4 linked regions of the Arabidopsis thaliana genome follow. The protein of the gene in region 3 interacts with the protein of the main gene of each other region in a biochemical or structural test. Each region holds a gene or a part of one and is shown on either strand. Other genes may lie near its edges. The genes, in order: GPRI1, HYH, GBF1 and HY5.

The links.
Region 1: the proteins of GBF1 (region 3) and GPRI1 form a complex in vitro, tested with the Arabidopsis thaliana proteins (one study listed by BioGRID).
Region 2: the proteins of GBF1 (region 3) and HYH form a complex in vitro, tested with the Arabidopsis thaliana proteins (one study listed by BioGRID).
Region 4: the proteins of GBF1 (region 3) and HY5 form a complex in vitro, tested with the Arabidopsis thaliana proteins (one study listed by BioGRID).

Annotation. Positions count from the first base shown.
Region 1 is NC_003071.7:8,851,364-8,859,897, reverse strand, and holds GPRI1 (GBF's pro-rich region-interacting factor 1), read right to left. Parts: upstream 4,541-8,534; 5' UTR 4,413-4,540; coding exon 3,948-4,412; intron 3,881-3,947; coding exon 3,833-3,880; intron 3,602-3,832; coding exon 3,461-3,601; intron 3,383-3,460; coding exon 3,038-3,382; intron 2,896-3,037; coding exon 2,854-2,895; intron 2,756-2,853; coding exon 2,642-2,755; intron 2,532-2,641; coding exon 2,376-2,531; 3' UTR 2,142-2,375; downstream 1-2,141. Other genes in the region: RPN1A (26S proteasome regulatory subunit S2 1A), read right to left, coding at 1-10, 150-250, 571-687. UniProt on the Arabidopsis thaliana protein: Transcriptional activator that functions with GLK2 to promote chloroplast development. Acts as an activator of nuclear photosynthetic genes involved in chlorophyll biosynthesis, light harvesting, and electron transport.
Region 2 is NC_003074.8:6,020,097-6,026,882, reverse strand, and holds HYH (HY5-homolog), read right to left. Parts: upstream 3,040-6,786; 5' UTR 2,913-3,039; coding exon 2,849-2,912; exon of another isoform or gene 2,776-2,848; coding exon 2,589-2,775; intron 2,497-2,588; coding exon 2,298-2,496; 3' UTR 2,173-2,297; downstream 1-2,172. Other genes in the region: AT3G17620 (F-box and associated interaction domains-containing protein), read left to right, coding at 1-385; RBL14 (RHOMBOID-like protein 14), read right to left, coding at 710-1,498, 1,722-1,937; IAA31 (indole-3-acetic acid inducible 31), read left to right, coding at 5,843-5,967, 6,065-6,276, 6,375-6,459, 6,548-6,602. UniProt on the Arabidopsis thaliana protein: Transcription factor that promotes photomorphogenesis in light. Acts downstream of the light receptor network and directly affects transcription of light-induced genes.
Region 3 is NC_003075.7:17,306,809-17,315,791, reverse strand, and holds GBF1 (G-box binding factor 1), read left to right. Parts: upstream 1-3,303; 5' UTR 3,304-3,585; exon of another isoform or gene 3,586-4,001; 5' UTR 4,002-4,039; coding exon 4,040-4,099; intron 4,100-4,188; coding exon 4,189-4,233; intron 4,234-4,344; coding exon 4,345-4,434; intron 4,435-4,541; coding exon 4,542-4,631; intron 4,632-4,750; coding exon 4,751-4,890; intron 4,891-4,976; coding exon 4,977-5,034; intron 5,035-5,112; coding exon 5,113-5,161; intron 5,162-5,247; coding exon 5,248-5,369; intron 5,370-5,457; coding exon 5,458-5,535; intron 5,536-5,619; coding exon 5,620-5,745; intron 5,746-5,852; coding exon 5,853-5,942; 3' UTR 5,943-6,123; downstream 6,124-8,983. Other genes in the region: HB40 (homeobox protein 40), read left to right, coding at 1-233, 901-1,143; HVA22K (HVA22-like protein K), read right to left, coding at 6,124-6,221, 6,322-6,394, 6,476-6,571, 6,677-6,740, 6,902-6,953, 7,106-7,203, 7,617-7,675, 7,961-8,023; HAM4 (GRAS family transcription factor), read right to left, coding at 8,272-8,983. UniProt on the Arabidopsis thaliana protein: Binds to the G-box motif (5'-CCACGTGG-3') of the rbcS-1A gene promoter. G-box and G-box-like motifs are cis-acting elements defined in promoters of certain plant genes which are regulated by such diverse stimuli as light-induction or hormone control.
Region 4 is NC_003076.8:3,591,344-3,599,068, reverse strand, and holds HY5 (Basic-leucine zipper (bZIP) transcription factor family protein), read left to right. Parts: upstream 1-4,065; 5' UTR 4,066-4,268; coding exon 4,269-4,365; intron 4,366-4,595; coding exon 4,596-4,779; intron 4,780-4,889; coding exon 4,890-5,151; 3' UTR 5,152-5,274; intron 5,275-5,417; coding exon of another isoform or gene 5,418-5,486; 3' UTR 5,487-5,708; downstream 5,709-7,725. Other genes in the region: AT5G11290 (transmembrane protein, putative (DUF247)), read right to left, coding at 1-110; AT5G11280 (tail fiber), read right to left, coding at 722-1,018, 1,103-1,334, 1,648-1,748; OCP3 (overexpressor of cationic peroxidase 3), read left to right, coding at 1,993-2,232, 2,420-2,797, 2,975-3,292, 3,384-3,512; AT5G11250 (Disease resistance protein (TIR-NBS-LRR class)), read left to right, coding at 7,109-7,725.

The sequences.
Region 1 (8,534 bases), on a different chromosome or scaffold from region 3:
GATTTCCTGCCTACAAAGCCAAATAAAACTCTAATTAAAAACATAAACATGTACACCAAGAGCAGAGAGAAAGAAAAAAAGCTTTATAAGTTGTACAAGCTTCAGTGGCAATAATCTGAAAACCCGAAGCTGATCAAGTCAAGAATTACCTCATGCTCTCAAGGGCAGCCTTCTGCAATTCCGGATTAGGATCCTGAACCCTCTCAACATAGAGCTCAAGGTTCTGCTTTAGTTCCAAGTCCTCTTCAGACTACAATCACAACCCAATGTAAGTCGAGTCATTAAGAAAGTGACCATATACAAACAAAAAAAACTTTCCTCACATCACAAGTTAACAACTTTCTAATCCGGCTAGTCTAATGACGAACAAAACACTCACTTTGCCAGATTAAAAACCCTAATTCTATAACACCCCTACTTCAACTCGATCGAGACTCCAATTAAAAACCTAACTGCAGATCTTACAGATTTGAAATTAATTCGTTTCTGATGAACCCAGATACTAAACACGACACACAATGTCGAAAAAGGATTCGATAAATCAAAAAACCGAGAAAGAAGAAACTTTACCAAATCCTCATCCTTTTTCTCGTCCTTCTTCTTGGGATCCTTAGACGGAACCTTCAAGGTAGCTTCATCTTTCTTCGCACCGCCTCCGACACTGTTGGGATCCTGAGTTGGAGCCATCTCTACAGTAACAGATCAATCTAAGGAACCCCTTGTAAAAAGCTTGAAATTTGAACACTCAAACGAATCGAGAAGCTTGTGCTTGTGCTATCGAAAACTCTCTGATTGCAGGAATTAAAACAAAAAAAACTCTTCTGCAACTCTCTAATCAAAGCACAATAATATATGAAGAAGAATCTAAATATTGGAATCGGAGAAGATAACCCCTCGATCAAGATTTCTACACTATAGAATCAATCAGCCCATTACAACCTCTTTTTCAATGTCACAGCCCATTAACCGTATTGGGCTCATTTAGTGAGTTCTTCTTACATGGGCCCACATGTCTAAAATTATTTATTCATCATATTTCTGTATGGTTGAACAAACATAATTTATCCTTATGACAGTTAATTTATTTCACGTTTGAAGAGGATTTCGACATATTTTCATTCTCTTTTCGACCGGTCGCAGACAAAACTGCAAGACAAGCTTTTCTTTCACAACCTAGTGAAGTCATAGTTTCGTCTAATTCACTGCATTGGATCTGGTCATTAGTAAAATTGTTGAAATATCTCATGATCCTTGTAAATTCAATATTGACAATTTTTGACCATCTATCTCATGGTAATTTAGTAGTTGAAATCTTCACCAAAGAGTTTATAGAGACCATGGTTTTTTGTTATTTTCACTATGATTTTAGTAAAAGTTAGCCAATGTAGATGTAGGCACCAAAAACTAGTGTGCATTTCGATTTGGAATGTCCGGTTAGAACAAAAAAAAATGATTTGTCTTCATTATCTTCGACCAAAGTCCTTTAAATTTTTGAATTTGAACCGAGTATTCATTTTGGTTATATTGGATTTTAATACCATGCATGTAGGGTTTGAATATATTTACTTTTGCCTATAAATACGTACTTATAAAAAGCATATGTGTACAAGTGTGAGTGGAAAATGAGATGCTAGTAATAGTATCCGCATGTATATGAATTATCAATTATGAAGAGAGAGGGACCATTCAAATTTGAAGGAGACGAGAGAGAGAGAGAGAGAGTGGTCACAATTGGAGAAAGAAGAGGTCGTTACGTTGGATTTTACGTTGCCTCCATGCACTTCCTTCTCCTCTTATCTCGTGGTCCTCTCCCTCTCTCCTCATTATTATTTTATGCCATTGTTCTCTCAATCCCAACAATACGTTTTTATACGGTAATATATGCATGGTAAACACACAATTTCATTACTCATTTTTCACCATATATAACCGGCTGGTATTTTTAAGTATAAGTTATGTTTATAAATTATAAGTGTATATATACTCGTGAGGTTGTCCTCTTTATAATCAATTGGTCGTCGTTTGCGACTTTGCTTTGAACGCTTCCAATTTCCATATGATCATTTGATATGGAAATTTGTTGTGTTATGTTTTATAAAAAAACTTTATATAAGCAATCAAGTTCTAAATCACCAATGGTTAGAGAAAATATAGGTAATTTATTTGCGTTAATAGAGCTAGAGTGTACTTAGCACCCTAGATACATATGAAAAGGGTCTCCTTATTAGTCACATGGGACGATTAAGTAAAGAGTAACTCTTAACACAACAAGGGTCAAAACAAAAACAACCCTTGGAAAAATAAAAGTACAATAATTGAAAGACATGTCGTCGAATTTTTGTTTGGTTCTCGCTTGCCTACGGATCTTGTGCGTTTCAGGCACAAGACGCGGTCGGAGGAACCTCAGAGACACCGTGACGGTGAAGCTCTGTCATAACACCGTCAACAGCCGGCGGATTTAATCCCAACGGAAGTGGCAGCCATGGCCTCGTCAATACATCTCCTATGGCTGCATCCACGCTCTCTTTTGACTGTTCCATTTATAATATATATACACAAAAAGTCAAAAATACATAATTACATAATCAAATGCGAAAAGTCAAAACTCGACAACAATCAATTCATTATATTAGATTCTTACCGGATGTAAGTCTACCGGAGGACGAGCACCACCAAATCCAAGATTTGGTTTGTACATCGTGTGATGCGGCGGCAGAGCATGCGGGATTCCGGCAACTGGCGGTGCTCTAAATCTCTATACAATTACCAATCAAAAATACGATTTAAAACATATATATAGAAACAAAAAGGGGTATACATACGGAAACAATCTTATAAATGTTGGTTCATTACCGTAGCTACGGTCGGTAAATACGGAGTCGTCCCGTTATGCATCTACATGCAAAAATGCTGGTTAGAAAGACAAGCATATGATAAAAATACTCGGTGTCATTCAGCTTTCATAATGTTAAATACTATGATGAAAACAAATATGATAAAGAGCTAAAGTAAAGGTTTCATAAATGTGGGAACTTACTGGATGCCAATAGGGAGAATCGGAGACCCAAAACGGCGGATTAGGCATGGCGGTAGAAGGCGGAGGTAAGTGTTTGGGCCACACATGCGGCATAATGGACTGATCAACCGTGGGATGTCCCCACACATGCAGGGGCCTAAAATGATGGTGGTGGACAGGTGGCGGTGCAACAGCCACGGGTGGTGGTGGTGGAAACCCGAGAGTGGGTGCCGGTGCAAGCCATCCATTTTTAGTCCGACCATTAAGATTAGCACCGGTGTCTACTCCATAGATATGCCTTTTGCGTGTCCAATTAGCCGCTTCGGCCTCACGAGCTAGCAAATGTTTCCGATGAGACCTATATTTCTAGTATACCAAATAACAGCAACATGTTAATTTGGATGGTTAATATTAGAGAATGAAATTGAAAAGAAATATACTAACTTGGAGGTGACTAGCAACGTTGTGACGAGTGAGACAATGGACTCCCATAAGCTCCAGAATTCGAGAAGGAACAGCTTTGTCCACTCCTAACTGTTCCACTGCCTCCACGAATCTCCTGTGTAGCTCTGGTGTCCAATCCACCTTCACACACATCCCAACATATATATAACCACCATCTTCATTATTTTTTCAATACTTTTTCACATACTATATAAAATTCACAATTAGCAGCTGACTATTTTACATAATTTGAAAGAAAAAAAGTCTTATAGAGATGCACGTGATGTCTTTACACGAGTCTTGTAAACATGACTGAAATATGAAAAATTTAGAAGATTTAGCAAGAAAATGAATTCTAAACGAATAATCCACTTTTAAAAAAAATACGAATCCATTATAGACCTGTTCATTTAATCGAGTCTAGCTAGGGTTTTTATTCATATAAGACTAATGTTTTATATATAGATGATATGATTAAAATCATTACCTTCACCTTTCTCTTCCCTTCGTTGTTACTGATCCGATTGTTCTTGGAAGAAGCTGAAGAGGAATACTTCCTTTTCCGGTCACTGTCACCGTCATAAGTCACCGTCTCCGCCGCAACATCGTCTCTTTTGCTTACGACTTCTTCACCTTTCCCCGAACTACCCTTAGTAGTCTCCCCTTGACTATCAGTCTTATCCGACGTCGTAGTAATCGTTGAAGAAGCGTTCATGTGATTGGAGAAATCCCCGGATAAGATCTCAGGGTCGATCTCCAAGTCAGGAAGCACATCTCCGGCCACACCGAATATATCGTCGAAGTCAATGATGTCAAGAAGATCACCGTGGTCAGCGAAATCCGGAAACTCCTCCTCCTCCTCCGGGTTTATAATCGTGAATCCACACGACGTATCAAGAAACTCTGACGCTCCGTCGCAACCATCTCTTGTCGCCGGAGACAGAGCTAACATCGATCAATCTTCACTTGTAGATCCAAATATAATCGTAGATAGAGGTTTATGTATGTTGTAGATAGGCTAGACTTAATTAGAATAGAGAGCAAGACATGTTTTGATATCCAAAGTAAGTCTCTTTCTTCTCCCTTAAAGGCAAATATAATTCATTTTCATTTATATGCTATATATAGAGAGAGACAGAAAGAAATCCATCACAAAAATATATATATATATATATACTAGATAAGGCCCGCCTATTGAGGCGGGTGTACCCGAAATTTTCAAATACTCGAACAGATCTAAACTTCAAAACCCAAAAAACTCGAACCTGAACCCGAATACGTATCCAAACATATTTCAAATATAAATATATATTAGTTATATTTATACTTATATATAGAAAATATTAGGATTTTTTGGATATTTTAATTATTTTGTGTATTTTTAGATATATTCAAGCAAAACTACTCGTGTTGTTTTGGGAATTTTTGAAATTTTCAAGTAATTTAATAGATTTGCACACAAAATTTGATATTTCAATATATAAATAAACTCAAACCCACCCAAACCGAACCCGACCCGAAATCTTAAATTACCCGAACGGGTCCTAAACTTCTAAACCCGAAAACCCGAACCCAAAATACCCGACCCGAATACCCAAACGCCTAGGGCTAATAATTAATAAAAAAAAGAAATCCACAAAATATTTAGAAACCAAACATTGTTGAAAATATATTTTCTATATATGCCGTAATCTCGTAAGTTAATTTTACATCATGCAAATTAATATTAAATGAGTTAAAATTAATAAATGAAAATAATTGAAAAGTTAAATCCTATAAGATAAGCTATTTTTCTCAAAATGTTCTATTTTCACTTATGATTACATGAGTTAAAGACAAATTTGTTAATTTTCCTTTTGTTGAATAAATGTTAATTGTTTATAAATATATAGACATATAAATTAGTATATGTAAATTTGTTTACTTTTTAAGATTTTCTATTTAATTTTAGAGAATAAAAAAGTTAAATTTTGAATGATACATGTAAACATCTGATCGTTTGACTTGACACGTGACACAATCTTATGAGTTAGCAACTTTAAAAACCATACTTTATATAATAAGATATATATATATATATATGCCTAGTTCTAAATGTGGTAAATAAAACATAAATTTTTTTTTTTTTACTGTTTAGATAAACATAAAATATCGACAACAAGCTCAAACATATATTTAGGCAACTCTTTTAGCGAATCTTTTTCCCTGTTTTGTTGGTAACACAAAAATTTAAGTGAAGTTGTTGCCAAACTGGATCAGAGCCACAACTTTAAAGTTCAATATCTGATTGTCGCATTTGTCCCTTTACCGTTTTGGTATCTTGGTTTTGGTCTGTCCCAACATTATTGATCAATCGGATGGCATTTCAACGGTTCTATGTCACTATGTAAAAGGTCTATGCTGGTCAACTTACATGTAGATGGATGTAAATAATCAATCCATCTACCGTATCACATACCCCTTATATATTGACGTGAATGAGGCTCGCAAATTAAGCTGTGGAAGATGCTCTTATAAAAAAGGACAGAATTGTCTCATTAGGTATAAGTGGACATGCACGTCCTATGGGTCCTCAAGAGCTACAATAATTGTTGTTGCTCGTTTCCACATCACATTTTTTGAATCGAATTCACGTTCACAATATTCGTACGGCATATATATATATACATCGTGAAGGAAGAAAATTGTAAGAAATTCCACATACTTTCAGGCCCTTATAGGCTAACACAACTCTATATATATTGAATGAGGGTTTTCTCAAAGTCAAGTACTAGAGTTCCAAATATTTGCTAGATATATGCGTAGGCTCCTTTCTATAAATGATGGAGTAATTTATAGTTGAATATTTGAGTGGTTTTGTTGCTACCATTTATGAGATGATCTGATGATACTTTTTAATAATGACTTAATCTTCTATATAACTGATTTGGTTTAAGATAAAGAAAAGGATAAAGATTGTTTCATTTAGAAACCGAAAATAAATAATTATTGGAGTTGTTGATTTTGGAATGATCTAAGATCTCACAGTCAGCTAGTTCAGTCTACGGCCCGACACTCTGGTTGGTGAGATGTTGGATCCCTTCTCCCAGCATGGAGTTACAGTGAGTTTTCATAGTTTTCTTCTACTATTGGAATATTAAAAACTAGCTAAGTTTAAATTTCAAAAATAACAGAAAAAGCTAGCTAGCCAATAAGTTTAATATATAGGTCAATAAAATAAATCTATGAGCTCGAGTAATATACAAATGTTATATTGAATTGAGTATTGAATCTCTATATAGAGATGGAGATGAAAAGCTATATATGTACATTAATTTTGAAACTGATATTAGAGGTTTGACAATCAGTGGACGTGAAGGGCCACCACACCCACATGTGACTTGATAGCGACTAGAATGGAAATGATATCATGTGTGTTTGTAATTAAAAATGAAGTGCAACTTTCGTAAAAGGACTACTGGTCATTAATTATGATTCCAACACTCATCATCTTTTTCGCTGTAAATAGCATATCATATGTATATATGTACTTGGAACGATTCTCCTGTTAACTTGGAAATAGCTAGGGAAAACGGTCTACTAATTTCGAAAATCGCCAATAGAAACAACAAATCAAATTCTTGTGAAAATAGGCTATAAAATTCAGTATCCCCAAATTAAAAGGCCAAAACTTTTATTTGTTACAAAAATAATGGTAATAGATTTCAATTACAAAGACACGAAAAGCAATCGATTTCCAATTAGTTCTAACAAAACATTCCATTACGCAGTCATTAACTTTGGAGCTGGTGTTGGAGCTTCACCATAACCGTTTTTGTGTGTGTGTGTGTGTTTACGTTTGCATGTTTATGTTATAACATAAAGTTAAAGCACAAACACAATTACAAAAACGTAAAGAAAAAAACGAAGAAGACCAATGCTTTGTTGCGGTGGCAACTGGCAAGAGACCACAAACGCAACCGCGTGAGTAAACTTCAATAATTCTTGCTTTGTAAAATTTCATGAAAAAAATTGTCACTGTTATCACAAACAATTAAACCAATATTTTGATTCAACTGGTGGAGTTTATTTTCGTTATTATTTTGGTTAAAATGAAAAATCTATTTTGTTGTGGATGAGCTTGTGGTGAGCAAACTTTTGTCTTTGTTTTCAACTACTAGTTGGGACCATGAACTGAAAGCTACAGTTTGAATTCATTTGCTGTTCCTTTCTATTACTGAAAAACATCTCTTCATTTGATTTTCTTAACGGTAATAAATAATGTCCGAGTTTCTCGTGGGATAATTGATGATACTCCAACAATCAAGTGCTTGCCGTTTTCATCGACTCAATGGGGCACTTGTAAAGAAAAAAACTTGGGTCAGAAATAGTAAGCCTCATAACTTAAAATAACCCAAGAATAATGAAGCTTCTAAAATTTTGGGCCAGAAATAGTAAAAGACCAAATGTTTGATGATGAAGAGACTAGAGAGATAGACTATGATCTGCCCAAAATAAACATTTTAGATCTCGTGAATAACTATGGCCTCAAAGTGAAACGGTTCCAACGTCGTTAACCGGTTTTATGTAAAACGAAAATCTTCCTCTTTCTGATTTGGTTAACCGTTCGGTTCATCCAAATCGAACCCCATGAACCGAACGAAACCGAAAACCAAAGGAGATCAGAATTTGTTTTTATTTTTATTTTACATCAAGGGAAATCATAACTGATTTGGTAATGTTTTTGGATCTGCATCTGCTGCATAAATTTTTATGATTGATTCTTTGATTATTGATTTTAAAAGTCAAACTTATCATGAATTTCGTGTGGTTTGTTGTGTAGCTCCTGGTATTGCTATGGCTTAACGAAAGTACCTATGGCTATGGCTATGGCTAACAAGAAGCAGTGGATTACAAAGCTCTCGCTAATATCATTATACAATGCAACCTTTTTTATTACTAGTTGGTGAGGTGTTAATTAATCCCTTCTCCCAGCATGAAATAAATGTGGAATCCAAAACAGAACATTTTGAAGACAAAGTTAATTACAATGATTTTAATAATTTTATCTTCTACTGTATTTTAAACTAGCTAT
Region 2 (6,786 bases), on a different chromosome or scaffold from region 3:
TGTGTTATTTCAGCGTAAGGACAACTTACATATGGAGATTTGGGTTACGACTAAGATTGAACCTGAAGAGGTGATGTGGAGCAAGTTGTTCTTAGCAGTGGATATGCAACCACTCACTGATTTTAAGTTTGGAATTGCAGATGCGAGTTTCATCATTGACGAAGAGAAGAAAGTTGTTGTAGTCTTTGCTAAAGACAAAGATGTAATGTATCCCACTCACAACACAGCTTACATCATTGGAGAGGATGGATATTACAAAGAAGTGGATCTCGGAAAAACTACTGATAAAATTCGAGATCCACTTGTGTGCTCGTATGTTCCAAGCTCAGCGCAAATCAAGCAAGGAGGCAAAAGGAAGAAAAAAGGGAAATTGATTACTGATTAACATTTATATCTTGCTTTGTGATCTTCTTCTTTCAACAAAATTTGGTTTGAAATAGGATAAAATTTTGTTAAAATCGAAAGTCTGTGAAACTGTAAGTTTGGTGTGAAGATACTATATTATCTGAATCACTCGCTACTTTCAGCAATCTAATCAAAGGACCAGTTCACGTAGAACCAAATCTTCAACAACAAAAGAGAAGACAAATTGAAGAAACAGATCGAAAAACACGACCACTAACTCTGCTATTCATAAGCTAATGCAATGAATGATTCAACAAAGCTTCATTCACAATCCTTCCTCAGCTTTAAGAATGCGCTCCCGAGATCAACTAAACCTCTCTACTCTTCGACGGCGCAGCTCATCTAAAGGGAGATCATTAGAAGAAGAAAGTGCTGGTCCCTGATTCAGTGACCATCCATTTCCTCTAGCCCGTCCCGAGCCACACATCTCGCAAGCACTTAACCAACCAGAATTGTCATATGTACACGACTGACATCTCCAAATACCAGGTCCTGCTATCCCAGTCTGACCTCTTCCCACTCTTCCTCTCCCCGTAATCCTCCTTCTCCGAGACCTAACCATACCATTCAGAAACCTCAAGGGCCACGTCACCAATCGAGATACACCTCTAACCGCCATAGTGACTGGATCTGAGCCTGAGTAAGAACCTTTCAGCTTCAAATAGATAATACCAGCAAGGATTCCACCCAAATGCCCAAGAAACGAAGCGTTAGGTACAAACATCTGCACTAGAATCAATTCTGCCCAAGCAGCATACTTTGTTGGAACCAAGATACCATACACACTTGAGTAATCCTCAGCTTGAGAATTAAGAACAACTTTCATAGCAAAGAGAACACCCGAGAACCCAACCGCATACTCGTTGTAGTAAGCTCTGTCATAGTCAAACAAGAGAAGAAGCGATTTGGCTAACAACAATGTGACTCCTTGAGACATACCAATAAGAGTAAAGACCATTGAAGCAAACTCACTGCTTCCCATTGATGTCTCAAGCTTGATACCTTTCCAGAGAAGTGACATCATGTTATAGACTAAGTGAGGCTCGTTAACATGGTAGAACGCTGATAGAAATAAACGCTTCAAGTCCTTATGCTGTTCAACAAATACACATCAAGATTAAAAAAAAAAACTTTAACAGAGAATAGAATTAATCAATCAAGAATGATCTAATTAGATATCGAAGAACAAAATCCCTAATTCTCCAGATATTGGTACAAATTTCCCAGGAAACTCAAATTCGAATTTCAGATCGAAATCGGTCAAATTGCAATCAATTTCTCTTGGCGAATGAAGGAATTTATTAAGATTGGTTTACCTTGAAGATGAGGTGAGGATTGAACCAGACCTCACTGATGTGAGGAATAACGGGATCGATAAACGCCGGCCTGAGATAAACGAGAGTGTTCGCGGCCAGGAGACTCGCCGTCACCGGTGGTTTCCACGGTAGTCTATAGTACTCCGCGACGGCGCTTAGAGCCAGCAACGGCAACATTCCGCCTCCACTTCTTCTCCCTTCACCAAAATTCTCCATTTCTTCGTAATTATTCTTTTCTTCTGATCTCTCTGAATCACTTACAAGTAATTAAAATCTCATCTCTTTCACAATATTTATATAGCAGCAGCTTGGTCTCTACGAAAACAAATTCTCCAGAGACTTCTTCGTTTCACTCGCATAAGAACATGTGGGACCCACCACGGCATTTTAGAACTCTAGTTTTTATACCTAATCTCTTCTTGCCTTTTTTCGTTTTTTTTTACTTTATTTTGCAAATCTGAATGACAATGATGCTCAAAGTGAATGTTATTCGAACAAAAAGTGTATACAAACCAAAACCAAAAAAGAAAGAAAGATAATCATACAACACTGAACAATGGATTAAAGGGTAAATATTTAGTGATTGTCATCAGTTTTAGGCCTTGTGTTAATAAGCATTTTACGAAGCATTGTGTTCTCGTTCGTCAAAGTAGAAATCTTCTCTTCGAGCTGGTCATTGTTGTTCTGTAACTCATTAGCTCTTGATTCCAAATCACTCACATACACTTTCTTCCTCTCTCTTGCTTGTTGCGCTGATACTCTGTTCCTCAATAATCTGTAATTTTTCACCACAGTTTCTTTTTTACCATTTCAATTCCACAAATCGAATGCTAAGAAAAAAAAGTTTTTTTACTCATCATTGATTACCTCTTGAGGCTTCTATATTCTTTATCAACAGGGTTTCTTCCACGGCGGCGTTTAGCTGTAGAGACTCCATTTTGAGTCTGGTCAAGCTCCGGATTGTTGACTCCATCGTCGGCGCTGCTGCTTAGAACACATGTTGATCCAGCTGCTTCCATGTCAGGAACCATCAACAACTCCTCATCACTTTCCTCTGAGAATTATACAAACCAATTTCTCTAAACCAAATTAAGTTAAATATTAGATAAGTTTCTTTCAACACCTACCAGTTTTGTGCTTCTTGTGGGAAGAAGACGAACTCGAGTTCCCATTGGGTCGTTGGAGAGACATCAATATCTTTTTGTCTTTTGAGATTTTGCTAAAGACGAGAATAGAGAGGTAAGAGGTTGAAGAGAATATCAAACCAAAGGAAATTGCATCTTTTCTTTCTTCTTTGGGGCCACTCAAAGTCTGCAACTCGTTTCAAACAAAAAAAAAGAGAAAAGTATTGGTTGGCTTATAAAAGAACACGTAGGTTTATGTAAGACCACAAATGCAACTGTTTCAATCCAATGGTGTGTATCTGTGTTTTCTTTTCCACTATATCCCGTTGAACTTATTAATTGATTTATTGTTCTGTTTTGCTTTTAAAGTCTTTGTTCATGATTTCTACGGAAAACAACCTTTAGTGAGTATTCACAGAGCGTGTGGGTTTAGGACAATAATTACTGTCTAGAACCATACAAACGTACTTGCAGACAAAGTCAGAGGCACAACTATGTGTGTGTGTATCTATTTGCATGGCGTAATAGGCATGCATAAACTCATCATGTGGTCATATATCTCGTTTTCTATTTTTTGGTACACAAATAACTCTTTTGTATAAAGACAGCTAACTAATGTTTTGAATTTTTAAATGTTATCTCTTAAAATTAAATTCTACCAATTGTAAATTCAGTCAATCATTCCGAAGCATTTTTTCATGCTTTGTGATTCCGCCATATATTTTCCCATGTTCTTTTTTACGTTTTTCATCATAATTTTAAAGTTTTACGATTTTTTGTTGTTATCAATGAAAATGGACCAAGTAAACTTCTACCGTAATGGTTGCATATTAGATAGTGGACTTATGCGCGCGCGCGGAAACAAAACTTGGCCGGTTGAATCGTCGTCTGCCTGGCATCTAACAGTTTTTTCGAACATTGTCATAATCAATATATTGAGGGATGTTAATCATGAAGTCGTATGGAATGGACGCGGGAAATCACTCATAAACAATGTGAACATTTTATAAGGTTATAAAGAAGAACAAGTTTCATCCTTCTTTTGTATATTTCGACTCATACATATCTTTCTATTCAGGAATAAGTATAAAACATAATATAACATGTGGCATATCGACCGACCAATACATCTTTCCCAACCCATGATCAACCTTCTGATTGTGTTTTAATTTATTCGTCATGAAATGGATCAGAATACTCATGATGAGTTTGTGTATCACTCAAGGGACCCCTTGTCTTAAAATCAACTAAAATCATTTGATGTAACTTTTATACGAAGTACTATCCAAATAATTAATTTTCATAAGCAGCGGACATTCATTTTGTTTGTATGACTATATGATTTTATTATTTGAAGCTGTATGCAAACGTGGAGATATGATTGCATCTTTGTCTATGCATGAACATGCCACGTTAATTTAGGAGTACATATCATGATATTGATCTCTCTTGCTATAACTTTTTGGCACAATACTATTGCATGCCTCTCTATATTACTTCAACAAAACGTTTAAATTTACCATGGTTAGAACTTAGAAGTAATCGAGCTGCAAACCATGGTGATCATATTTTTTCTCGTTCGCATGCTCGGTCTTAATATATTGAGAGTTATGGCCAAAATTTGAATACCATTTTAAGAAACTTCAGAAAATCAGGAGTTTGATTATTATCTTTGGTTCTTACTTACTTCAACGAAAACTAATGACAAAACTCTTTTAAGTCGAGGTATGCGAGTAATAACTCCTTGGACATATTTTTTTGATAAAAGTTTAATTGATTATAGACTTATAGTAGTCTTAATTATTATTATAAGTATAAAGAGGAGTAAACATTCATCATTAGACTACTAGACATTATAAAGTTATATATATCGAAATTCTAACAAGAAGGATCCCTAGAGACCAGACATGCATGTCCAAAGACAGATCGTATAATAGCTAATAGGAGTCTTATCGATCCAACATCCAAGGTAGGCTTTATTACAAAGTAACTATTAGAGTGCACTTCCCATGATGATTCTAGAATCTAATATTATTATCAATACAGCCAATGAGCATTATGTGATGTAACAATTTATGTCTACTTTATATTTTGAAGTTATCATAAATCAACGAATTCTATTTTGATTTTCAAAAAAGAGTAAAAGATTTGGGCTTCTAAGAGAGACAATCCACAAAGCTAAAGAGACATTAACAGGAAACGTATAGTTAAAGAAAAGAACACTGTCTGCTCCACAAAAACAATATACACAAAACTCTTCAAGTCTACCTTATTTTTATTGGTTCTGCAATTTTCAATGGTCTGTTACATTAATGTGTCATAAGAGACAATTGAGTTTTCTTATCAACAGAAGGGTCTAAAAAATTGATCCCCCAAGTTCATAGTCTATAGACTCAGTTTTTTTCTTTCAAATATTGATGTGTAAGAAAGTGAAAGTGATGTGATGCTCTGTTTCTGTTTACGGCTAGACAATAAAGCCTTTTTTGGCCCTTATCTCTCCTAATTAAAGAATCTGAGCAGTTGAGAAATTAAAATCAAAGCCTTAACAGATTAACTCCAACATCATTTAGACACACTTTCCTTGGATACCACCTTTTTACGGAAACTTCGAATCTTACATGTAAACAAATCTCAAAACCATAATTTCACATTTTTACTACTAACTAACTCCAAAGATCTAAACCCATGAATTAAGTATCTAATCGGGTAATTATTACAGTGGTTTTCAGAAATCAATGTGTGTTCATATTTAGAAGGTTGAAAGTTCATAGTTAAATGTGGGGAACCTTATGTTCCTATTATTTATTTATATTAAATTTCAAAGTCGATTAAATCAATTTTTAAATTCAAAATCTATGCAATAGAATCACCTACTAGTCCTTTTTTGTTTAACTAGACAGAGAGAAATAGAAATAGAGAGAGAGAGACATGAAGAGCACTCTCAATAGAGAAGAGAAGGAAGCATGAAGCTAGCTCTGCAGCTTCAAGGTCTCATTAATGGAGGTCTCTAACTCTTGTTCTTCATTTTCTTCATCCTCTGTCGACAGTACTAAACCTTCTCCTTCTGAATCTTCTGTTAATCTCTCCCTTAGTCTCACATTTCCTTCTACTTCTCCACAAAGGTCTTATTCACATCACTTCTCTGTTTTTTCCTATGTTCTGTTTTTGCTCTGTTTTCTTTTGTTCACATTTGTGTTTTAAATCTTTATTTTTTTGTAGAGAAGCAAGACAAGATTGGCCACCGATAAAGTCTAGATTAAGAGATACACTAAAGGGTCGTCGTCTTCTTCGTCGTGGTGATGACACTTCTCTCTTTGTTAAGGTTTATATGGAAGGTGTTCCCATTGGAAGAAAACTCGACCTTTGCGTATTCTCAGGCTACGAGAGTCTATTAGAAAATCTCTCTCACATGTTCGATACTTCAATCATCTGTAAGTAATTAATGAACAACACATAATTCCGTAAAAACAACATTCAACTAAATTCAAACAGTTTGAAGTATATCCATGCATTGTCTTGGCTATAACAGGCGGTAATCGAGATCGAAAACATCATGTTTTGACATATGAAGACAAGGATGGAGATTGGATGATGGTCGGAGATATTCCATGGGAGTATGAATCTTATATCTTGATCTTACATTGGTATAATTTCCTCGGTTATAGCTATTCTCTAATTTTTGAAATCGATGTTTTTGTTTAGTATGTTTCTTGAAACCGTGAGAAGACTAAAGATCACGAGACCGGAGAGGTATTAAAACTTGGATCGGTCAAGGCTGTGATTGCGCAGTTACGAGACGTGTAAGATTTAGGCATTGATGAAGAGACTTGAGGCGGGACGGAGCTATTGCTGCATATTGCAACAAAGGCCTTGAAGAAGTTGGAGAATTGATTGATGCATATATTTATTTATATGACACCTTTGAGTGTGTTTTTTCTTAT
Region 3 (8,983 bases):
TGACCGATGAACAAGTGAACATGTTGGAGATGAGTTTTGGGGATGAACACAAACTTGAGTCGGAGAGGAAAGATAGACTTGCGGCAGAGCTAGGGCTTGACCCTCGTCAAGTTGCCGTTTGGTTTCAGAACCGTCGCGCACGGTGGAAGAACAAAAGGCTCGAGGAAGAGTACAATAAACTCAAGAACTCACATGATAACGTCGTTGTCGACAAGTGCCGACTTGAATCTGAGGTATTTCTTATTTTTAATGTTTCAATTACTTCTTCTTTTTTTCCATTTCATGCTCTACTTTTTTTTTTTTTTTTTTTTCTTGCTCTATTCTTTTTTTCATTATGAATATAATAAATATGGGTAGAGATAATGATTACTTAAGGGATATATTAAAAAACTTTTTCCAATCCAAATTTTAAATCTACATAGATAATTAAGGAAAATGCTATACGTTTAACTTATGCATGAATCGGCTATTTTTTCAAGCTTTTTCATAATAGTAATTAGAATTTTCGTCCGACCTTTTTTTTTTTTTTTCACCTTGTTCCTACACTCAATTGCATAGTAAAAGGTAAACAAATTCTTTAGATAATTATTGTTTGGCATAAATGAACGTGAGCTCAAGGCTCGAAGAAATTAGAAAATTCAATAAATGAGACAGAAAGTGAAGTTGATAACAAAAAAAATATTGATATCGAACAGTATAATGCCACCTTATTACACAACATATACACCTTTATATGTTCCGTACAATGTTCTTATTTTCTTAATAGTGGCTTGTCATTGTCAATGGGCTCAGTTCAACAGTAGGCCCACTGACTAAAAACACCATTTAAGTGTAATCAGATGCTTGCATCGGTGATTTAAGCTACGTAATGATTAATTTTACAATAATTTTCCTGAACAGGTTATTCAGCTCAAAGAACAACTCTATGATGCAGAGAGGGAAATCCAAAGATTAGCAGAAAGAGTAGAAGGAGGCTCAAGCAACAGTCCAATTTCGTCTTCCGTTTCCGTCGAAGCTAATGAAACGCCATTTTTTGGAGACTATAAAGTCGGAGATGATGGCGATGACTATGATCACTTGTTTTATCCGGTGCCGGAAAATAGTTACATCGATGAAGCGGAATGGATGAGTCTATACATATAAATTACTAGCTTAATGTAATATTATATCAAGTTAGTATCGTGAATTAGGGAAGCATATTTCTAAGTAAATTTACTAGATTATATAACTGTTGCATTTCTAATGTACAAATATATTGACGATGAGTTTCTCGCTAATGTAATTTGGCTATCTTTATGAAAGCAACAATATAAAATTGCTTAAGTAGTTAAAAAAAATTAGCTACTTTGTTGAATTAAATTTCTAAGAAAAATATATATGAATTCGTTAGGATTTAATTATAATAAGTAAACTGTAATTTGGTTTCACTAACGAAAAAAAAAGTGCGGCCATAAAAGCAGTATCGGCTGCAAGATTCGAAAAACCTTTACTTTTAAAATTGTAGAAGACAAAGGACTAGATGACATGCACATGAAGATAAGATGAGCAAATTTGTTAAAACTTTTTATCTCCATGGATAAGAGTTTGCCCGATTTATACAAAAGAGAAGTTCGGATAAAATATAACTAATTCTGGTAAAACATTTTGAGTCAACTTTTATAGATCGGTTGACAACTAATGTGTAAGCTTATATTATGGTTTATACATAATATATTCATCACGTAATCATTATTACTTATTAGTGATCTGATCGCATAATATAAAATGAGAGTATTAGTCATCAAAAGTTACCACGTATCATGCGTTTCTCAAAATGTTAGAAAAAACACATCGTTTTCTAATCAACGGAAAAATCAAAGTGTCTTTGGACAAGATCAGATGTTCTTTTGATTAAAACCTCTTCCAGTAATTGTAAACTGTACAAGTGCATTTTCTGAAAATCAAAGTTTTCTTGGACATGACTAGAGATTCTTTGATTAGAGTCTTCTGGATTTTGATTGACGTTAAGATATTTTTGATTTAGACATATACTAAATCCTAATTAATTAAAATTATAGATCGAAAACATTATGGTCTCGTAAAGTTTAGAAACTATGGACCCACGAAGAAGTGTTTGGCGAATAAGCGAAGGATTTAATTTAGTTTTGGGTATATAGAAAACGAAGTGTAAAGAAAACGTAACGTTATGGCTCTTTCTAAATTGGGTTTGTTTTAAGTACTCGTAACCACTTTCAACACATTCACTGTATATAGTGTGTTGTATTATATTGTTTGAGTCGTCATATGATGAGATTGTATATATATAAAGAAAAGTCTTGGACCTTTTGATATGGTGATCCATCACATCAACTACGTAATGGTAATACTAATGCTCTACGATAGATGCTATATTTACCTAAGAAAACCGATTTTTTAAGAATGCACTGAATTTTGCTATCAATCAGTTAACTATTGATAAGTCATATTTAGATTTTTATTTTGTTTCATTTGTAAACAGAAAATCACAAGACGTTGGAGACATCTTGGCTTGCTCCTGGCACCTATAAAAAAATGTATGTTTGCAATAATATTAGGGACTTATTAAAGTAGGCCCAATGGGCTTAAGATTCCACCAAATTAGCTTGACAAACACTAAGGGCCTGTCTCGGATATTAGTTGTTTTTAATTAGCAATTGAATAAACTGATGCACGTTGACTCTCTTTTTTTCGTCGTCATGTTTGATTTTTTTTTTTTTTTGTCGTCATGTTTGATTAGTTCTTAAATCTTAACGATAAGTTAAATTATCGATTTAATATCAACAACTGTAGCAAATTTTAATATTCTACGTTAAAAAACTTACTACTATTTTTTTTTTTTTTTTCAGTAAAATGACACAAACATGCAAACCTAGAAAATAGCTTTGACTTGGTTAGTTTCTTGTTAAAGAAAAAGATTACAAACAATTAACATAATATATTATGCACTACAACGGGAAACAAAATTAAGAAAAAAGACTCTTTATCTACAAAAAAAAATCATATAAATGTAAAAAGGGTTTTATCATTGACAATTTGACAGTTATCAATTTACATCAAAATATATTTTAAATGTTTTTAATATTCATGTACTTAATTAGATCGCTAATAATGATAATAAATTGAATATCCTTTTTGATTGTAATAAATGAGTAGATGAGTCACACCAACTGTAGCTACCGTGTCAAAACCTTATCCAGTAACACGTGTACAGCTGGACCTCTCATTGTCGCACGTGTCAGATCATCAAACCCTAAAATTAAAATCCCAAAGAAAAAAAAAACTTTCCTCTTTCTTCGCATTCTTCTCCTCCTATCGGACTTTGCCACACCAGATCGGAAAATCCCAATCCTCTTTTCCTTTGTTTTTTTTGCTATCTTCAATCAAAAACTCTCCGACAGATTCAATGAAGCAGCAAAAGAGATAAAACCCTAACAAAAGTAAACAATCGGAGTTTTAATCTTCTTCTTCTTCGGAGCCGGAGTTTTGTCTGATCTGTCGGAGAGGACGTGTCGGCATCTATTAAAATCCTAGCTGGACTTCCACATCACTTTACTCAATTAGAAGCTGGTCTGTTTTCTCTGTTTTTATTCTAACTTTTTCTCTCGTTTAATTTCTCATATGCAAACAAACACCTTTGCATGTAACTGATTCTGTTGTACTTGAATTGAATTCTTTAATCAATTATGCAAACAGAGCTTGTTTTGGAGATGATGATTCACAAGTATGAGATTGTCTTTCTGCTTAAGAATTCGTTGAGTGTTGGTTTCTGAAGTTTGAATTGTGTGTGTGTGTGTGATTTAAAATACTGATGCATGGTTCGAAGCTTAGAGATTTTAGATTGCTATAAATGAAAGCAAAAGAACAGTGCCCTTACTCTTGTTCTGTTTTAAAGTCATTGATTGTTATAATTGAAAGCAAAAGATTTTAGTTTTGATGTTTTATGATTACTATTTATCGTTAAGATTTTTGATTTTTGTTTATAGTTTTGAGTAACACAAGTAAGTAGTAAGCTTATAAAACAATGGGAACGAGCGAAGACAAGATGCCATTTAAGACTACCAAACCAACATCTTCGGCTCAGGTTAATCCTTCTCTTCTCCTTTCTTTTCAACATCTTTGTTCTGTTTTATATTTTAAGGTGTTTGATGTATCTACCTCTCTCTTTTTCAGGAAGTTCCTCCCACACCGTATCCAGATTGGCAAAATTCAATGCAGGTTCGTGTTACATGTACAACTTTGGTCACTATTAGTTTTTATAGTGTAAGTGAATACTTTCTCGAAAACACCGGGACTGCTGAACATAATAGTATATGCTTATTTCTTTAGGCTTATTATGGCGGAGGAGGTACTCCAAATCCTTTTTTCCCATCCCCAGTTGGATCTCCTAGTCCTCACCCCTATATGTGGGGTGCTCAAGTAAGTTTTGTATCGTATAGTTGTTGATATGATTCTATGAAAAAGAAGTTTGCATCTTATTCTTTGGATAACACTAAATGAGTTTCTCTGTTTTGCATTACTTTCAGCACCATATGATGCCGCCTTATGGCACCCCAGTTCCGTACCCAGCAATGTATCCCCCGGGGGCAGTCTATGCTCATCCTAGCATGCCCATGGTAATCTCCATACCATTAATACAACATTAGCTATCGTTGAAAGCTTTTTGCTCTGTTACATGGCAATGCATAGATAAATGAGAAAGTAAAAAACTTGCTCGACATTTCTTTTGTTGTAGCCTCCTAATTCTGGTCCTACCAACAAGGAGCCTGCGAAGGACCAAGCTTCTGGCAAGAAGTCAAAGGGGAACTCGAAAAAAAAGGCTGAAGGAGGTGATAAAGCGCTCTCTGGTTCAGGGAACGATGGTGCCTCTCATAGGTGATTTTTATAACACTCTACTCAACGTGGTGCTTGTTCAGTTTGATTGCAGTGTCATATGTAATTATGATTTTTCCGTTGTGCAGTGATGAAAGTGTCACAGCGGGTTCATCTGATGAAAATGATGAGAATGCCAATCAACAGGTACTGTTATGTGTTTGAAGTGTTCTCTGTTGCTACAATACTTTGTGATGTGCTTCATTGAGATTCATGTTAATGTAGGAACAGGGTTCAATTCGAAAGCCAAGCTTTGGACAGATGCTTGCTGACGGTATGCTTTTGACCGCTGCAGTTTTCATGGTTTTTCTTTGCATGTATTTTCCATGTTTCTTGACTTGGTAAAGTTTCCTTGAACAGCAAGTTCTCAAAGTACGACTGGTGAAATCCAAGGTTCGGTGCCCATGAAGCCGGTAGCCCCGGGGACTAATCTGAATATCGGGATGGACTTATGGTCTTCCCAAGCTGGTGTACCAGTGAAGGTGTGACCAACTCCTCATTTCACCCTGCAAGGTTGCTTTTCCGAATTCGTTACATTCTTCCTTACAAAATCCTCTGATTACTCAACAGGATGAACGAGAGCTCAAGCGGCAGAAGAGGAAACAATCTAACCGTGAATCCGCTAGGCGGTCTAGATTGCGGAAGCAGGTAATATGCATTTGTGTGTTAGTATCATTTTACTCTGTCTGCTTCTTGTAATTTACTCATTCCATAATAAACCATTTCGAATAGGCCGAATGCGAACAACTTCAACAAAGAGTAGAGAGTTTGTCGAACGAGAATCAAAGCCTGAGAGATGAGCTACAGAGACTCTCAAGCGAATGTGATAAGCTCAAGTCTGAGAACAACTCAATCCAGGTGACAAACTCTTTATCCGGAAAAATTTCTGCGAAAATCATACTCTTTCCAACTTTTATCTTATTTCTATCGGCTTGCATTTACACTAGAGTCATGGAATAATGCAGGATGAGTTGCAGAGAGTACTTGGAGCAGAGGCTGTAGCTAATCTAGAACAGAATGCTGCTGGGTCGAAAGATGGTGAAGGAACAAATTAACACTTAGGAAAATTGGAACTTTACAACGGATTATTGGGATTTTTCAACACCGGATAAAAAAAACTGAGTCCAAAGTCATTTGAGATTACGTAACTATACAATCGTTTGACATTTTTGTGTAATAGAGATTTGACCTACAAGACTGTAGAAGCTGCAAAAGCTACGATTACACTTTGTTTTATTAGTCTTCGTGATTGGAATCGGATTCTGAATCCGAGTTTGTTTCTGAAACGGGGCTACCATTTGCTATTTCTCCTAGTCGTGGTGCATCCTCGTTGACTGTTGGAACAACACAGCAAGTACAAATAAAATAGTCAGTTCAATACCCTGATAGCAAAGTATTACACTAAAGATAGAAAATTAGAGTTCCGAAACAAACCTGATCCCAAGATTTTGGCAATCATTGCTCGGACAAACCGTATTTCTCCTTGGTGTGACCTAACGACCTTCACCTGCAGTTTTTTGTTTTGTTTTAAAGCGTTAGTTAAAAGTGACTGAAGAATAAGGGAGTTCAAAAGAAAGCAATCGTGTACCATTTCCCCATATACACCATCCACAAGTTGGTCCACTCTAGCTTGGTGTCGTAAGAGGAAAGGACGGATCTGGTTGTTGTATATCTGTTTTGATCCCTGTTGTCGGCAAATAAGAATATAGAGAATATCAGAACTGATGAGTACCACGGGTTAAAGCTGCCTACTCGTTAGATGATGGTTTAAAGAGATTCCGATAGGTACCTCAACAGTTGGGAGTTGAAGCCAGACGAGGAACGCAAACTTCACATGATAGTACAGCGGGAACCTGCAAATAATCGAGGTTATTGAGTATCAATACTTTGCGAGTTTATCGAGATAATCAAGCCATTTCTCTCGATAAAGTCCATTAGAAGAAATATCTTATTTGTCTAACATAACAGCAAAACCATCAAGATATTGTATATAGTTTCAAGATGTCAATCATACCAGGAAATGATCTTGTCCGTGAACACTTCAACAAGGCTGAAAGAACCATAAGCTGCAAAGAAGGTGAAGATAGAGAAAAAACCCCATCAAATTCCATGTGAAAGAAGGCCAAGGGAGATTGAAAAAAAACTATTGAAGATAAACAGTCAAAGAATAAGGAAAGCAATTAGAAAGGTCATAACAATTGCAGTAACAATATCCCACCTGCCCAGTAAATAAGCATCTTTTGTTGTTCATTCTCATCTCCACTCTCAATTGCCTTGAAGGTAGAGTACACAGGCAAACCGATGCCAATGGAGCAGCTGCAGGAAACAAGTTTCAGACATACCACACAAACGTGTCCTTTATAACCGAATCCTTTAGTCAACTACAGCTATAACACCTTCTAATAGAGAAAATAACCAAAAACTCGGATAAAACAAAAAGAATCCAGATTCCCCAACAATAGATTGACCCTTGTCCAAAAGATACCCTAAAGTATCACAACAAGTAGAATAGAACCCTTGTCCACTCGGCTAAGTTAATAACTATGTCAACAAAAAAAAAAAAAAAAAAAAAAACTCCCTCCCTACCCCATTGCTTCACATGTAATGAGAATCACTCAATCAGATCACAATCTCACCAATCAAATCATTCCTCCAATTCATTCGTCTACCTGTACCATTGATTCTAGCAACTATATGGCTTTCTTCACCTTACAATAAAAAAAACTCACCATGCTGTACGAAGTACGATATTGGAACTAAGTGGAGAGAACAATACACGCAACCCAACCTGAAAATTCCATTGAGAAAAACAATTGTTTCTCTCAATCCAAAAGTTGAGAATATCCACATGATCAGGAATTGAAACACCTCTTTCTCTAATCGGCTTTTGTCAAAGAGTAATCCAAACAAAAAAACAATCCAGTACAGAAGAAATCTGAATTCCAACAAGGCAGAAGATGAAGGAATCCTAAATATACATATTTAATCATAAACTTTATCACGAATCCCCAAATCACGGATCGGAACAAAAGCCGTACAATCGGAAACATCAATCAAACTAAAGGAAGATTACCTCGCCGGTGAGTCCAGATCCAAGAAGCGCCATGGATGGAATCTGTGAAGCAAACCCGCTCATCGGCGATTCGTACGACGGTTTTACCAAATTGACGACGAACTCGCACACTCGCAAAAAAAAGGTCACTTGTGTTTTGAATAGAGGAGATTATGAATCATTAAAAGACTCTAGCTCATACAGAGACTCTTCGTAAGAAATATTTTTATTTCTTTATTTGAAAGATAAACAGCAAAAAGAAAAGAGATATTAAAGGCGGTAAATACAATTATTCTATTCTATATCATATTGTTAAACCAAACCCGGTTTATCTAAAACCGCCAAGCTGATGTGGCAACAAGTGCTCTTCCATGCCAGCACAGCACCAATTCTCCTTGTCGTTTCGCCACGTGGAATCCTCTAACTTGCGCTTTCTCCAATAAACACTCAGCTTGAAAGTCGGCGAACTGGCTTAGCTGTATCGGCCTCATCCCGGCGGCGCAAAACGCTTCCCGCCAAGTCATTTCGCCGGTGTGTCTCCTGTCAGCCGCCGTTTCTACCGCAGCGGAGATCTTCGGTCGTAGAACGAACGCTTCCACTATCTTCTTCACCAAATCTCCGGGAGGAGCTGCAGCGTCGAGCGACTCCAGCACCATCGTGTAGAACTCAAGAGCGCTAACAAACTCTCGCCGGAATGATCCAGATCCGGCGATCTCCGTCCATCCTTCACTATCCACGAATACAACGACCTTAGGTGATACTCTCCGTAAATTGTTAACAAAATCAGTGATTCCACTTAGACGACGAAATATCGCCGGGGAAATCAAAACGACGGTCCTCTCCCCCTCAACAAACCTAATCGCTTTGAAAGATAACATCTCAAAAGTCTTCATCAGCACAAACTCAATCTGGAAACGAATTTTCATCTCCGCCGCGAATTGAGTTAGGTTTTCTTTCACTAGTCGCGTCTCTACGGCGCACTCCTCCGCCACCACTGCCGTAACTCTTAAAAATCCACCGCTTACAGATTTCTCAGTGATTTCT
Region 4 (7,725 bases), on a different chromosome or scaffold from region 3:
TTATAGATACAACAGTTGGTTGAAAGAGAAGACAAAGATTCCAAGTTCTCTTTGATGGAATCCACAAGGGCATCACCTGGAAGGACTGTAATACCCTGATTCTGATCCATGTCTTATATGACTTCAACTACACCAGAGCTTTGAATTCTGTAAAGATGAGAGAAAACTTGTTTCTTGCACTACTGGAGAAAGAAATTGATAAAGAATTAGTCAGAAATTGAAAATGTCAATGGCAAATCGTTTGTGCCTTTCAAAAACACTATTTCATTTGACCAAGAAACGCATACCATTGGTAGGACTTAACCAAGTCATCCGAACCTCTCGTGGTGAATGTTATAGGCTTTTCGGTTAAGTAAAGAGACGCTATATTATATGGGGAAAGGGGGGACTTTATCAAGGATTCATTCCTCAAAAACTACAGTTAATAAGCTGTTACACGAACAAGTTGAAGAGCAAGATGGACGAATTATGAAACTGGAAGCAATACGATGGTTTTTCATTGGAACCCCTTGTATTGCTACTCATTTCAATTTTCGTATTTATGTGCTTTTTTGATATTGGAAGATATTGACTACTGAGCAGTGTCCTAGAAAATAGACAATTCATGAAACATAAGGTAACTGAGAGCAAAATATAGTGACAATGCCATTTTCCGGGACATTTTCCTTTCCCGGGTGTTGGTACAAAGACAGGACACAAGCCCTATTAAGTCTCAAAAAACTCACTTCAGCTTAGATTTTGAAGAGCTCATTAGAGGTTTAGCAATGGGACGAGCTGGAGCTGCCCTCGTGGCTTTCCTCAAGTCATACTTTATCATAGAGAAAGCGCAGATCATCGCAAGCACCATAGTTGGGTACACATAAACAGTTTTGGCTGGGTCAGTATTTACTGGCTTCCCTAAGATCCCTTCTTTAACAAGACCCCATACTAGTAGCAATGACCCAAACATGCTCATCCTTCCAGGCTTTAGCAAACCCACAAACGCCCCAGCTACAGAAAAGTAGCTCCCTGCAAGAACCTGTACAAAATGTATCACTTGTGAGACTATTAGTAGAATCTTAAGTGAACTGTGTTAGGAGCTCTTGAGATAGAATAAGCGAACCTCTAGGCGTTGAAGATCGGTCACTGCAGAAGCTTCTTTCACATTGGTGAGATTGTAGATATCTAACACATTTTCCCACTTTGGAAATGTCATGTTGATGGCAAGGCCATTGACTACAGCACCAGGGTATAAGAGAGCCTTAATCATCGGAACAGGAAAGATCTCACTAGAAATCAACTGAGACGATGTCACATGGATTGGCGATGAACACATACCAGATCTACATGGAACTCTGTTTTTAAGATTACGATTCAAGTCAGATCAACCAGAGAGACAAACAAACCAAGTAATGACTAATGATCCATATTATTAAGATTCTAATCAACTGATAAAATTTTGAATCAGCTTAGAGTTTCATACTAAAACCAGCTACACAAAAATGCGGAAACTTGAAAATGAATCAGAAATCAAGTTTTTCATTAATCAACCTTACGCAAGAGAAAGACTAAGCGTCGTCCACATATCGGATTCATAGACGCATCACTAGATAACGAAATATAGGGTTCGAATTACGCAGCTGAGAGTTTGTTTTAGTATGAATTTACCTGAAGAGAGGGATCTGGAATAAGATCAAGACGAAGTAAACCGATGAAGCCATAGACGTCCATTTCTTTATCCATCCCTTTGATTGCCCTGGGTTCGCCATTAACAAGCCCGCAAAGAAATCAAATCTAGAGAGAGAGAGAGAGATGCAGAGTGGACCCGTTGTTACCAGACGATAACGACGAAGAACAAAATAAATACTTTATAAACGACACGCTTTGCTACACTGTAAACACAAAACGGAGTCAGTGTTTAGATCTTTAAGGGATAAACGACGTCGTTTACAAAGATTCATATAAAAATCCGATTATTTTTCTCACTGCTGCTGAAAACAGCAAACAGTTTTGATGATAAAAGCCATGGCTCTATCTTCTGCCGGCGTCGTCTCTCATCTTCATCCTCCGTCGTTTTCTTCGTCGTCAGGATTATCCGTCAACAGAGTTCTGTTTCGGAATCGGAACGCTAGTCCTTGTGGTCTATCTCTTCCAATTCTCAATCCGTCTCGGTCTGTACTTGTTTTTGCTCGTGGCAAGAATCGAAAAGGATTCGTGTCTTCGTCTTCTTCGTCTCCGAAGAAAAACAAAAAGGTAAGAAAATCAGAATGAGAATGATTTATGTTCGCAATTGCTCTTACCTGCTGCTTTCGCCGAATTTGACTAGAATTTGGATACACTAACTAAGTGAGCTATTATCGGTTAGAATTGGTGAATCCTCGAATTAGACTTTGGCTCTTTTTGATTTTGTATCAGCCTTTGATTTCATGGTTTGTGGCAGAAAAGTTTGGATGGAGCTGATAATGGAGGAGGTGAGGAGGAGGAGGATCCATTTGAGGCATTGTTTAATCTTTTAGAAGAAGATTTGAAGAATGATAACTCGGATGATGAGGAGATAAGTGAGGAAGAGTTAGAGGCATTAGCCGATGAGTTAGCTCGAGCATTGGGTGTTGGTGACGATGTTGATGACATCGACTTGTTTGGTTCAGTCACTGGTGATGTTGATGTTGATGTTGATAATGATGATGATGATAATGATGATGATGATAATGATGATGATGATGATGACAGCGAAGAAGATGAAAGACCGACTAAGCTGAAGAATTGGCAGCTTAAAAGACTGGCTTATGCATTGAAAGCTGGGCGTCGTAAAACTAGTGTAAGTTTTAGTTCAGTGTTGAAGTGATGTTGAATACATTGTGTAAAGCATAGTGCTTGAGTTAGTGTCTGCTTTGGAGATTTTGCTTACGAATTGTTTAAGAGTTGACAAAGAACAAGTAGTTCTCTGGTTTTCAAATGCATAATTGATAACGGATGGTTTTGTTGTGATCTGTAGATTAAAAATCTGGCAGCTGAGGTTTGTCTTGACAGGGCTTATGTTCTTGAATTGCTTCGTGACCCGCCTCCAAAGCTGCTAATGCTAAGTGCTACACTACCAGATGAAAAACCGCCAGTAGCAGCACCTGAGAACTCCTCACCTGATCCAAGTCCTGTGGAATCATTATCAGCTGAAGATGTTGTGGTCGAACCTAAGGAAAAAGTAAAAGATGAAGCAGTTCATGTGATGCAACAGAGATGGTCTGCTCAGAAAAGAGTGAAGAAAGCTCACATTGAAACGCTAGAGAAAGTTTACAGAAGATCAAAACGACCCACTGTAAGGATTCTCCTTTTACATTTGAATCAATTTCTATGTTACTTGAATGCTCTATCTCACATATGATCATGTTTGATGATGCTGTGAATAGAATGCTGTGGTTAGCAGCATTGTTCAAGTGACCAATCTTCCAAGGAAGCGAGTTTTGAAGTGGTTCGAAGATAAAAGAGCAGAAGACGGAGTTCCAGATAAGCGAGCTCCATATCAAGCTCCGGTTTGATCTAATGTTAACGTTGAGATGGCAATGATTTGTATACTTGATTCTCAGAAACTCATCAACATTGTCGTCAAGGACAAGTTTTTTTGGTGATACGAGGAGTGTTTATAGTAGTAGATTCTGTCCAATGGTGTGGCTGGATATGTTGGACTATGAAATTTTAGGATATCTTGTATTCAGTTTTTAGTTATTTCCTTGCTGAGATTGTGTCTTGTAGAAAACCGTTTCAACTTTGTTTGGTTTATGGCGGCTATAAAGTTTAATTTTAATGCATGACAAAAACAAATCACCAAAAATAAAATAAATTACTTTCACGACACTTTTGAAAGCACTGCCCTAGGCGTGGGCCATGTGACAGAATGAAAGAACTCAGACCAAACTTTTCTGTCCAAGGACAGGAATGGGGCCCACCCAATTAGCTCCCCTATCCATTATTCACCGTAAGATGCTAACCAGATCTAACGGCTAAAATCCACCCACGTTCCAATCTCAATTGCCTTTGGATCCTTGTATTTCCTCAAGGCTCACCTTTCTCCACGATTCACTCTCGATATCCGTTCGATTCTTCAGAGATCTGACGGCGGTAGCCAGAGTAATCTATTCCTTCCCAAAATGTCTCGCAATTAGATTCTTTCCAAGTTCTTCTGTAAATCCCAAGTCCCGCTCTTTTCCTCTTTATCCTTTTCACCAGCTTCGCTACTAAGACAACAAATCTTTCCCTCTCTCTCTCGCCTGATCGATCTTCAAAGAGTAAGAAAAATGCAGGAACAAGCGACTAGCTCTTTAGCTGCAAGCTCTTTACCATCAAGCAGCGAGAGGTCATCAAGCTCTGCTCCACATTTGGAGATCAAAGAAGGTAAACAAAAATTGTCGATTGTTTTATTTTCATATCTTCTCCCAACGAGTGATCTCATTGATTTTCATTCTCATGCATTGGATATCTAGTAAATTCACATCTAGATTTTGTATCACCATTGATTCACATCTAGATTCACAACTTTTAGTCTCCCCCAGAAGATCTGCAATTTTTTATTGTATTTAAAAAGTTTGAAACTTTTCGTCTAAAGTCTCTTTTATGTTTTAAAGGAATTGAAAGCGATGAGGAGATACGGCGAGTGCCGGAGTTTGGAGGAGAAGCTGTCGGAAAAGAAACTTCCGGTAGAGAATCTGGATCGGCGACCGGTCAGGAGCGGACACAGGCGACTGTCGGAGAAAGTCAAAGGAAGCGAGGGAGGACACCGGCGGAGAAAGAGAACAAGCGGCTGAAGAGGTGTCTTTTTCTCTATTCATTGAATTTACATTTTTACCCTTTATATGGAAGGTGATTATGTTAAATAACGGTTGCGTGATGGGGTTGTTTGGTAATTTTGTGGTGAAAAGGTTGTTGAGGAACAGAGTTTCAGCTCAGCAAGCAAGAGAGAGGAAAAAGGCTTACTTGAGCGAGTTGGAAAACAGAGTGAAAGACTTGGAGAACAAAAACTCTGAACTTGAAGAGCGACTCTCTACTCTTCAGAACGAGAACCAGATGCTTAGACATGTACGTTTTGTCGATCTTACTGTTGACTTAACCTGCAACGTCAATGCTTTTGCCATTTGTTTTTTGATATATCACAGTACTGGTTTATCACATTTACGAGTCTAGGATTGACCAATAATTAGTTTAGTTAGTTAAAAGGATCTAAGAAGCTAACTTAAGCTTTAGATTAATTCTCAGAAGGCATGTAGGTTCTTGAAATGGTCATTCACTCGCATATTCTCTCAAAAGGCATGTAAATTCTTCAATGGTTCTTGAAATGCTCACTCATTTTGTTCTATATGAATGGAGAAGATGAGATTGCAAAGTTGGATCTCTATGTGTGTGTGTGGTAATAAAGTCTTTTGAGTTGTTATGTTTTTTATGTGGTGTAGATTCTGAAGAACACAACAGGAAACAAGAGAGGAGGTGGTGGTGGTTCTAATGCTGATGCAAGCCTTTGATCTCCTTCTTCTTCTTGTGTTATATTTTTGTGGATAAAATTTACAGAGAATTGTATCAATAATTATCATGTTAAAATTATATGGGATGTGAGAGCTAATATTGCAATTGTAGACCAAGTTCTCTTATTGTAGTCTTAGATTTCTCTTAATTGAAACATAATGTTGTTTTATAACAAAAATAAGCTAATTTTTGTTCTATGATATGACATTGTGACACTGTAGTAGAAAGGTTGCGTTTTCGATTCCCGCAGTTCAAAGTCCCAAACAAATTCTGGGATAGTGGAATCTTTACTCTTTTTTTTTTCCTTTTTGCCCCTATCCCTCCCGATTTCTTACAGACAAGTCGCCATGGATTTGTAAACGAAGATGCCGTTGATCATATTATGCGGAAATCGGACAAAGAGGGTAGGGTCGATCTTTTACAGCCAAAGCTTGTCAAGCTCGAGAGATGAGCAATCATGTAAGTGTTTTCTTACACTTTTGCTTTCCTTTTTCTAAAATCCATGGAATCCAGACATTGTTTTCTGTCACTGCTACCTTGAACTTGCTGCTCCCTTCTTAGAATCGGGTTGCCACAACCGAATTTCATGGACAAAATCGTACATTTCTTTACCTGTTGTATGCTTTCTGATTCTTTGTTTTCTATTTTAGATTTTTCGTGGATCTCATCTTCATCTATTGCTAGTTGCTAGTGTACTATGGATTGTTTGACATTATTTCTCATGCTTTTGAGGATACTCAGATTCTATCAATGTTAACAAAGAAAAATTTATTCTCCTTCTTTTACCACTTCCATCTTCTTTGTCTTACATTTGGACATTCCATGTCTTTACCAGCTTCCGCAGGGAAGATGTCCGTAGAGACTTTCTCAGTCACGTTCAGATGGAGTTTCAAAGAAAATGAATCTCTCCATTCAATGATAATGAGATTAAAAGAAGAGAGTCATCAGTATATCCAGGCGAATAGAGAATCTAATATCTCGCTTTCTAGCATCTTGCGAACAGGAAGTGAGGCAAAGGCTTGACGTTTTACCTGAGAAATCTCTCATATCATCAATATCGCTGATCAATTTGCAAAAAATCCGACAAAGAGAAAGCTTGAGGAGTGAACAGCAATGTAAGTATTTTAAGTCATGGAACTCAGATTTTGATCAATGCTTTCTTGAAATTTATCTTGAGTTTTTTAGTTGCTGCTTTCCTCTTAGAATCAAAATCTCACAACCAATGAAAAATCCTTATGATTCTACATTCTACATTATCTTTCCTTTTACTGTTTCTTACATTCTGTGTCTTGTTTATGCTTGTGAGGTTAAATTTTCCTTTTGCTGTTTGCTTCTTATGATTTTATATTTAGTTTTTTTTTTTCGTTGGACCTCATTTTGCTATTGAAACATTATTGAACGAAGCTTCTTCTCTTGCTAGTTGCTCATGTAGGACCCGTTCTTGTAATTTTCTGTGAGAAATATCCAGAATTTGGGGTATATATGTAATAGTTTCAACATTCTCAGTCAATGGAGATTGGAGTCAACGTTTTTCACTGTATACAGAGCCTCTTTAAAGCTCTGTGATAGTTGACTGCAAGAAAAGAGATAAGAAAACTGTGATACTGATCCTACTAATTTTATGGCTTCTTCGTTTTTCCTTACCACTGTTGCAGCTGCAATAGGCTTCTTCACCCTTTTGAGAAAACTCAGATTCCATCATGATAACAAAGAAAAGAAGTCAACTTCTTTATCTCCTTCATCATCTCCATCTTCTTTGTCTCCTTCATCAGTTCCTCCACCTTCTTCGTCTTGCATCTGGACACACCAAGTCTTTCCCAGCTTCAGCGGGGAAGATGTCCGTAGAGACTTTCTCAGTCACATTCAGATGGAGTTTCAAAGAATGGGAATCACTCCATTCGTTGATAATGAGATTAAAAGAGGAGAATCCATCGGTCCTGAGCTTCTGCGGGCTATTAGAGGGTCTAAGATAGCAATTATCTTGCTCTCTAGGAACTATGCTTCTTCAAAATGGTGTCTTGACGAACTGGTGGAGATTATGAAATGCAGAGAAGAGTATGGTCAAACTGTGATGGCCATATTTTACAAAGTGGATCCTTCTGATGTAAAAAATCTGACCGGAGATTTCGGGAAAGTCTTTAGAAAAACTTGTGCCGGTAAACCAAAGAAGGACATTGGGAGATGGAGACAAGCTTGGGAAAAAGTGGCCACAGTAGCTGGTTACCATTCAATCAACTG